Tamandua tetradactyla: one gene and its partner. The protein of the gene in region 2 interacts with the protein of the main gene of each other region in a pairwise test. Links are inferred from orthologs where the notes say so. Each region holds a gene or a part of one and is shown on either strand. Other genes may lie near its edges.

Region 1 (3,748 bases), on a different chromosome or scaffold from region 2:
GGATGTGGTGGCTTCATGTTTCTAATGCAAAGGCCTCTCAGCAGCTGGCCAGTTGTAACATTGTCATGCCATCCAATCCTTTAGATTTGGGAGGGAGGGGTCTTTGAAACAAGAGCAGGATGAGCGGAAAGTGTGTTAGAAAGGAAGGAGACTGAGATGGCACTGTGTGGGCTATGCCGGCTGCTTTAGGTGTTATTTCATCTAATCCTCAGAACCACCTTGGAGAAGGCATTCTTGGAGAGAAGCAACCTGGCCAAGACTAAGCGGAAAAGATGGCATGCAAACGATCCCAGCTGCCCTTGTTAAAGTTGCCTTTGAGAGGAAGCAGGGGATCGGGGCACTGTCATACCACAAGCTACATCTGAAGCTACTTCTGGGTCCCCAGGTAAGAGCCAGGATAAAGGTATACCTGCTACCTTATATTTGCCCACTGCCCCTCTATCCTGTTCTAAAGCAGGTGGCAGTGATGTAATCAGGTGCAAAGAATGCAGTTAAGTCTCCATCAGAACTCTACTGACACCAGGACCAGCCTCATCTCCTCCCAGTAAATCCTGCCTTTCTGCACATATTGTTAAAAAAGAACAAAACAACTTTATTACAGATGTAATACATGCTCGCTGCTGGGAAATGCAAGCCAACAAAAAAAAAAAAAGAAAGAAAAAGAAAAAAATGATTCATTATCCCCTCAGGTTAAAGAAAAAGCACCAACATTTTGATATCGATTTTCTTCAGTATCTTCAGATCACTAGGGCCCTGTCTCGTTTTCACCCTGGGGTTGTTTTCTGGAAGTTCATCCTCTGTAAATTCTGTTGGGGGTGAGACAAGGCTTCGGGAGACAGGCAGTTTGGAGTTGTGTTTGTTTGGGGTTGATTTTCAACTTCAAGTTGAACCTCCCAACCATGGGAGCAAAAGGTACTGGGAGCCTTTTTATAGATGGGCATCTGTATTCAAGAACTGGCCGCATCACTTGAGTTGTTTTTTCCTCCGGAATTTTTAGCCCCGGCAGCTTTCGGTTCTTTGAACAGTAAGTGTTTGAACCTTGATGATGTGTCAGAGGATGGCTCAATTGGCCTTGACCGTGAGACCCTTACTTGAAATGATAATGACTGGCGGCTTCAGGGGACGGCCTCGCCTCTCCCGCTCCTTCTGTCTGGGTTCAGAAGCTGCTTGCCATGGAGAGAGCACAGCGCGGGCTCCAAGGGCGGAGCTGGAGGGAGGCAGGCGGCCTGCGCCCCCTGGTAACCAGGCAACCCGCTCCTTAGCAACGGAAGGGGCGGGACCGAAGGAGGAAGTCGGAAGCCGGAAAGCAAGTCTCGCGAGAGTTGCTTTTGCGCGCGAACTCTTAAGTGCTGGGGTCCCAGGGTCTGATTGCGCAGGGGAGCTGTGCAATCGTTTGGGGGTGATCGACGACCGCCGCGGACCGTGTCACTGCACCACCCCACTCCACCATGGAGACCTCAGCGTTCAAGCAGCAGCAGCCTGCGGCGAACAAGAGCAGAAACCTACCTTGGTAGGAGGAGGCCTGCGGTCGCAGTGGGAGATAAATCAGTGGCACCGGGAGGGGATGGTGGGGGTAGAAAGTGGCAGGGCCCGGGCCCACCTCACCCCTCCTGCGCACCTGCGGCCGGGGCGGAACTCACACAGGTTTGCCTTGACATCCCCCAATTCTCCAATCCCTCTCCATTCTGTTCAGGACCTTAAAATTTTGCCAGGTCTCCCCTCACCCTCAGTTTCCTTGCCGAAGAGGAACGCTGTTTTTGCACCTGGTGACAGCACAGGGACTCGATCCCACGTCTTCTGACTCCCTTCATTGGTTTCCATGCCCAGTTACCCTCATCTCTTTCGACAGCCAAAATCTTCAAAACCGTTATTGGTCAAATCCTAAGCTAAGCTAAACAATAAAGTACCAACGCCTTTTAGTTACCATTTATAAAACGGCTGCGACACACAGCCAATTCGAGGTTTGGCGTGCGTTAAATCTTGTGATCCTTACAACCTCTTAGGACGTAGGTACTGTTATTATTCCCATATTACAGATGAAGCAACTACCTTAAAAAGGTTAAATGACTTCCCTGAGGTCCTAAAGGCAGAAAATAGGCTTGGATTTGAACCCAAGCGGTCTGAATTCAGAGCCTGCATTCTTAACCATCCTACTTCCACATCCATATGCTTAGTGATGCTTTGGTTGTATTTGGCCAGATTTTGGAAACTCCAAATTGTTTTGGTATAATGACTGCATTTCCCTTTCCATCCTACGCAATCCCCCAAATAAAGCACTGTTTTTATTTATAGAGTCCTGATCACTTCAGGGGTAGGAGTGGAGAGGTTCCTTTTTCAATACAGAGGCCTCCCTAATATTGGTTTGTTTTTACCAAACGCATAGGCAAGTGGCTTCATGGATTCAGAAAACAAATTACAGTACTTAGTTTCTTTAGTCCCACTCTGCTAGAGCGGCAAGGTGAGCATCAGTTTTTGCTTCTGGAAGAATCCTGAATTTGGGATTTTCAACTGTAACAACTCCAACTTCTATTTCTGAGGGTTTGGAATCAATTGATAGAACAGGAGACCGGTGTGTAATTGCAGTTTCAACTGTCTGTTCAAATGTCCAATCAGATTTCTTCTTTACTTTTTTTTTTTTCAAGGAAGCTGGTTGACTTGGTTTGTTTAATTCCTGCTGCAGTGGCTTTAAACCACAGTAGTAACCTGCAGGATCACAGGTGCACACCTAAGGGCCTGGCTCTTCCTCTATACCAATTAAAATCATGCAACATCCAAGAGGCCTCATTTCAGCGTTCTCTGTAGACCTGAGCAATATCTCCAGTTCATTTACACAACATGTCCACAGGAATCTCATAGCTATACTTGCGTTTCTATACCTCATAGCAGCCTCCCTCCCTGGGATCTAATGTCAGCTGTCATTCTTGTTATCATACAGCCAATGTTTTGGGTTATCTTGAATAAGTGAGTCACCGTGCTGAAATCCAATAATTTGTCAGATACTTTGTTCTTTGTGACAAGTACTGCACAGTCTTTCCCTCTGACATGTATGATGTAAGGCCACCTTGGTTAATAGCCTTAAAAGCATATTCTGGGGTACACAGGTGGTTCGGTGGTAGAATGCTCGCTTTCCATGCTGGAAATCCGGGTTCAGTTACCGGACCATGCGCCTGAAAAAAAAAAGCATATTCTGCTTGGTGGAGGCGGCCCTCAGGTGAAAAAACAATAATGTGGCAGTCAAAACTTGTGCTGGAACCATGGGACATGTTGGTGTGCCCACTGCTTCAAACATAGCTTCTGGGCCCCGAGCTCTCACACAAGGCTACCTAAAGAGTGCATTTTTTTAAAATTGTGGTAAAAAAAAACCGCATAATGTAAAATTTACCATTGTAACTATCTTAAAAGTATGCAATTCAGTGGCATTAAGCACATTCACCACTATCTAGTTCCTGAGTTTTTTCATCATTCCAAATGAAAACCCCAAACTGTTAATCAGTCATTCTCATCCTCCTTCCCCTCAGTCCCTGGCAACTACTGATCTGCTTTCTGTCTGTATGGATTTGCCTATTTTGGAGATTTCGTGTAAATGGAATCAGACAATGTGTGGTCTTTTGTATCTGGCTTCTTTCACTTAGCATTGATGATTTCAGGGTTTATCCATGTTGTAGCTTCCATTGTACTTCATTCCTTTTTATAGCTGAATAATATTCCCAAGTCTGGAGACACCACCTTTTGTTTATCCATTCATCTG
Region 2 (3,748 bases):
TATACTAGAAAATTATTTGTCATTTATTTGCAATTTAAATTCAACTGGACATCCTTGGGTGCTAAATCTGGTGGGCTATATTTATTGAGCATGTACTATATTCTGGGTACTCCTCTAGGCATAGAGTTGCAGCTGTAAATAAGACAGTGTACCTCCCTGGCAGAGCAGACAGTTAGTGAAGATAGACCATGGACAAATAAGCTATAGCAGCAGGTAGATGAGTGCTGAGTAGCAAGGTAGGGTGCTGCCAGCAGGAGGTCAGGGAAGGCCTCTCTAATGAGGTACATGATGGCATTTAAACAGACATCTAAGTGAAGTGGGGGAGCCAGATGGGTAAATATTTGGTATTTAAGGGTTGGAGGGGAAGAGGAATGAAGCATTCCAGGAAGACAGGATGGCAAGTGCAGAAGTTCTGAAGGAAAAATTTAATTAGTGAGTTCCAGGAACAAAAAGGAGGCCAGGGGCTGGAGCAGAATGAGCGAGGAAGAGGAGGGAGGCTGGAGTCTGACAGGCGGTGTGGACAACCTTGTATAAGCCTCCAAGGCCTCAGTTAAGCTTCTTTCTAGGTCCTAGAATGCCCAGTTTAAATGAGAAGAATTCTAATTGCTCAGGAGTGCAGTTTTTCTCCTGCAATGATCTGAGAAGCTTGTCAACAACTAAGTTTCAGGAAAAACAAGCAGGGACTGTGTGAGGGTATCCCAAAATAGACTCTTGTTTCTCAGGGGAAGCTCTTTCCTACCTGATCCCCTAGAAAGCAGTTCATCCATAGACTGGGCACTAGCCGCTTGGATTCATCTCATCTAAATTCAGGGCACTAATGAGGACATTGAAACAGTTCCTCTGAGAAGCTGCTGATTCACATGCTCCAAACTGAATAGCTCAGCTCCACCTCAGAGGATGAGCTTCACTTTAGCCTGCATTCTGCAGCAGTCCATGCAAAGATAATCAGAGAGCTGATGGCATCACTTCTGGGCTCCTTTCTGCCTGCTCATACTGGCGAGTCTGCCTGCCAGGGGATGTTGGACCCCTCCTTGAGATTATTATGGGAAGAGTTTTGAGAAGTGATTTCAAAATTAGTGTTTTAGCTGTCCTCTGCACTTCGGCTTCACCAGTCCCTCCCGGCTCAGTCCCCCAGATCTTATGGCCCCGCCTCCTGCAGTTGTTTATTTCCTGAGTTTCATTGGTTGAAGGAACTTCCTCAACCTCAGGCCTCAGGAAGTGGCAGTTAGGAGGGGACTAGCGGCAAATATGTGATTGCTATATGGGATGGTTTAGGAAAAGGTCCCGGCCCAGGTCGTCTCAGTGGGGGGACACATAGTACATGTATGTATGAGTATGTGTGTGTATGTGTAGGCGGGGTGGGTATTTTCCTGGAAAGAGAACGTCTCCAACTCTGAAATTCGTCGGGACTCGGCTTTATATCTCTTAGCCCTGGTCTGCTTTCTCTTTCGCCTGACTCCACACCCAAAGAGTGCCAAGATGCCAGGTGAGTGACGGGCACCCCAGGGCCTCAGGAGGTGGGGAGACTTTTCTCGCAGGAAGAGATGGGCCTCCTGTGTCCCTTGGCGGACCTAATGTGCCATCCCACAGAAGCCTCCAGATGAAACTGCATGCAGCTTCCAGACACCAGTCTTGATTATCACCGGGAAAACATCTATCTGGTAACTTTAGTCGAATTCCTGTTTGTAATTCCGGGCACTGTTAGTTCAAAGGAAAGATCACGCTCTAAGTTTCCTTCTCCCTGCTCCCAACCAAATTCCCGGAATTCCCGGGGTGAGAGGGAGGCAACAGGGCTGGGTTCCGGAAGCAGCTGCAGCATGGGAGAGGGGACCGATTTATTTGCTTCTGGTCACTCCTCTGCCAACTCTGAGTACCAGGACCTCACTGGTGGACAGTTGGGGGGCCAGCACCTGGCACCCCCACAGAGATCTGCCCACCCCCACTCACTTCCCACCTCCCCTCCCCCATCCTGCCAGTGGATTTGCCCACGGATTCTGCAAAATCCCTGTGTCCCAATCACCATGGACTTCTAGCAGATGAGTCCTGGCCTGGAAAAATGACAGTCACCTCCCTATTTCTGTTGGAGCTCTGCTTACCAGGAAGAACTGCTCCCTCCCCCATCCTTCTCTCTGTGCCGGGAGGGGAAAAAGAAAAAGGACAAACAAGTTCTTCCGGTTCTTCTGGTTGCCTTGGTTACTTTCATACCACTGGTTGGGTCTCCACTGAGACTTTTTTAATCTGATGTGTTTTGTTCTACCTGAGATGGAGGTGGGATAGAGAGAACTGGGGTTGGGAAGTAGACTTTGATTGTCTCAATAAAATCCTTAATAGTCCAAGGATTACCTGAACGTTGCTGCCAGTTACAAAGAGATAATTCTAATAATAATTACTCTTGATGTGCATTAGAATATTAGAGTTTTACACTTCCTCACCGAATTGTCTTTCTTGGGGCAAGTTCTGTGAGGAGGCCTACCTTGCTTCTCTCTCTCTCTCTCTGGCACTTTGGCTATGAAAAGTTTTTGCAGTGATGGACTGTTCTATATCTGCACTGCTGTGTAGCCACCAGCCACTTGTGGCTATTAAGCATCAGAAATGTGAACAACAGGACTGAGAAACTGAATTTTTAATTTTATTGAATTTAAATTTAAATAGCAACACATGATAGTGGTTACCATATTAGACATGACAGCTGGATGTTTAGGCATCTTCTAAATTCCAATCCATTTATTCCTTCTAGACAGACAACTTCAAGACCTCTGATGGCCAACGCATCACACGGAGGCTCAGGTGAGATTTATTTCAATCACTGCAGAAAATTCTGGCTGCTTCATCTTGGCCTGTAGGTCCAGTATTGGAGCTTTCCAAAAAAAAAAAAAAAAAGCCATGGCCTCAGGCATACCCTCCAAGAAGATGAGGGAGGAGGCCATCTGCTCCATCTGCCTGAACCTGATGGATGAACCCATGAGCATCAGCTGTGGTCACAGCTACTGCCACTTGTGCATTATGGGCTTCATTGAGAGTATAAGCCTCACACAGCCAGAGAAATCTACCTGTCCCCAGTGTCGGGTCCCATTTCAAGTGGACAGCCTCCGGCCCAACAAACAGCTGGGAGGCCTCATTGAAGTCATCAAGGAGCTGGAGCGTAAAAAGATATGTGAGGAACATGGAGAACAGCTCCAGGTATTCTGTGAAGATGAGGGCCAGCTCATCTGCTGGCGCTGTGAGCGGGCACCACAGCACAAAGGGCATACCACAGCTCTTATAGAAGACGTATGTCAGGGCTACAAGGTGAGTGGGCATGGGGGGTGGGGCGGAGGGCCTTGCTGCGTGCCTGGTCTCCACTGCCCCCAAGACCTGGGATTGTCTAGTCTGAAACTCAGTATTCCTGAAATATACCTTTCATCATGCCTTCTACAAATAATCGGTCATGGGTTCTTTCTAAAGCAAATCCAGACTGTCTATCCTGACTTTTAGTGGGATGGTCAGACCTCTGCCCCTTCCCCCTCTGATTATGACAGACTTCTCTCTGCCTTAGAACCTGGCGTGTTCAAGTCTACAGCTGCATGCTTTACTGCTTTGCACCATGTGTATAATTTGAAAAACCACGATGAGATGTTCATGCTATAGAATATCAAAATACAGGGGAGAAAGACATGCAATCTTTTAGGTATCCTATAGTTTAGTAGGAAAGGCAGTCCAGCAAAAAAGACTATGTGGAACCTACTGTTATGAGTGATGGGTGGAGGGG

The links.
Region 1: the proteins of TRIM38 (region 2) and RFC5 interact in binary tests that used the Homo sapiens proteins (3 or more experiments, as listed by UniProt). The link is inferred for Tamandua tetradactyla from reciprocal best matches to the Homo sapiens genes TRIM38 and RFC5.

Annotation. Positions count from the first base shown.
Region 1 is NC_135331.1:18,316,363-18,320,110, forward strand, and holds the start of RFC5 (replication factor C subunit 5), read left to right. Parts: upstream 1-1,305; 5' UTR 1,306-1,448; coding exon 1,449-1,510; intron 1,511-2,431; exon of another isoform or gene 2,432-3,088; intron 3,089-3,160; exon of another isoform or gene 3,161-3,263; intron 3,264-3,748. UniProt on the Homo sapiens protein: Subunit of the replication factor C (RFC) complex which acts during elongation of primed DNA templates by DNA polymerases delta and epsilon, and is necessary for ATP-dependent loading of proliferating cell nuclear antigen (PCNA) onto primed DNA.
Region 2 is NC_135351.1:29,230,124-29,233,871, forward strand, and holds the start of TRIM38 (E3 ubiquitin-protein ligase TRIM38), read left to right. Parts: upstream 1-1,165; 5' UTR 1,166-1,486; intron 1,487-2,737; 5' UTR 2,738-2,883; coding exon 2,884-3,288; intron 3,289-3,748. UniProt on the Homo sapiens protein: E3 ubiquitin-protein and E3 SUMO-protein ligase that acts as a regulator of innate immunity. Acts as a negative regulator of type I interferon IFN-beta production by catalyzing 'Lys-48'-linked polyubiquitination of AZI2/NAP1, leading to its degradation.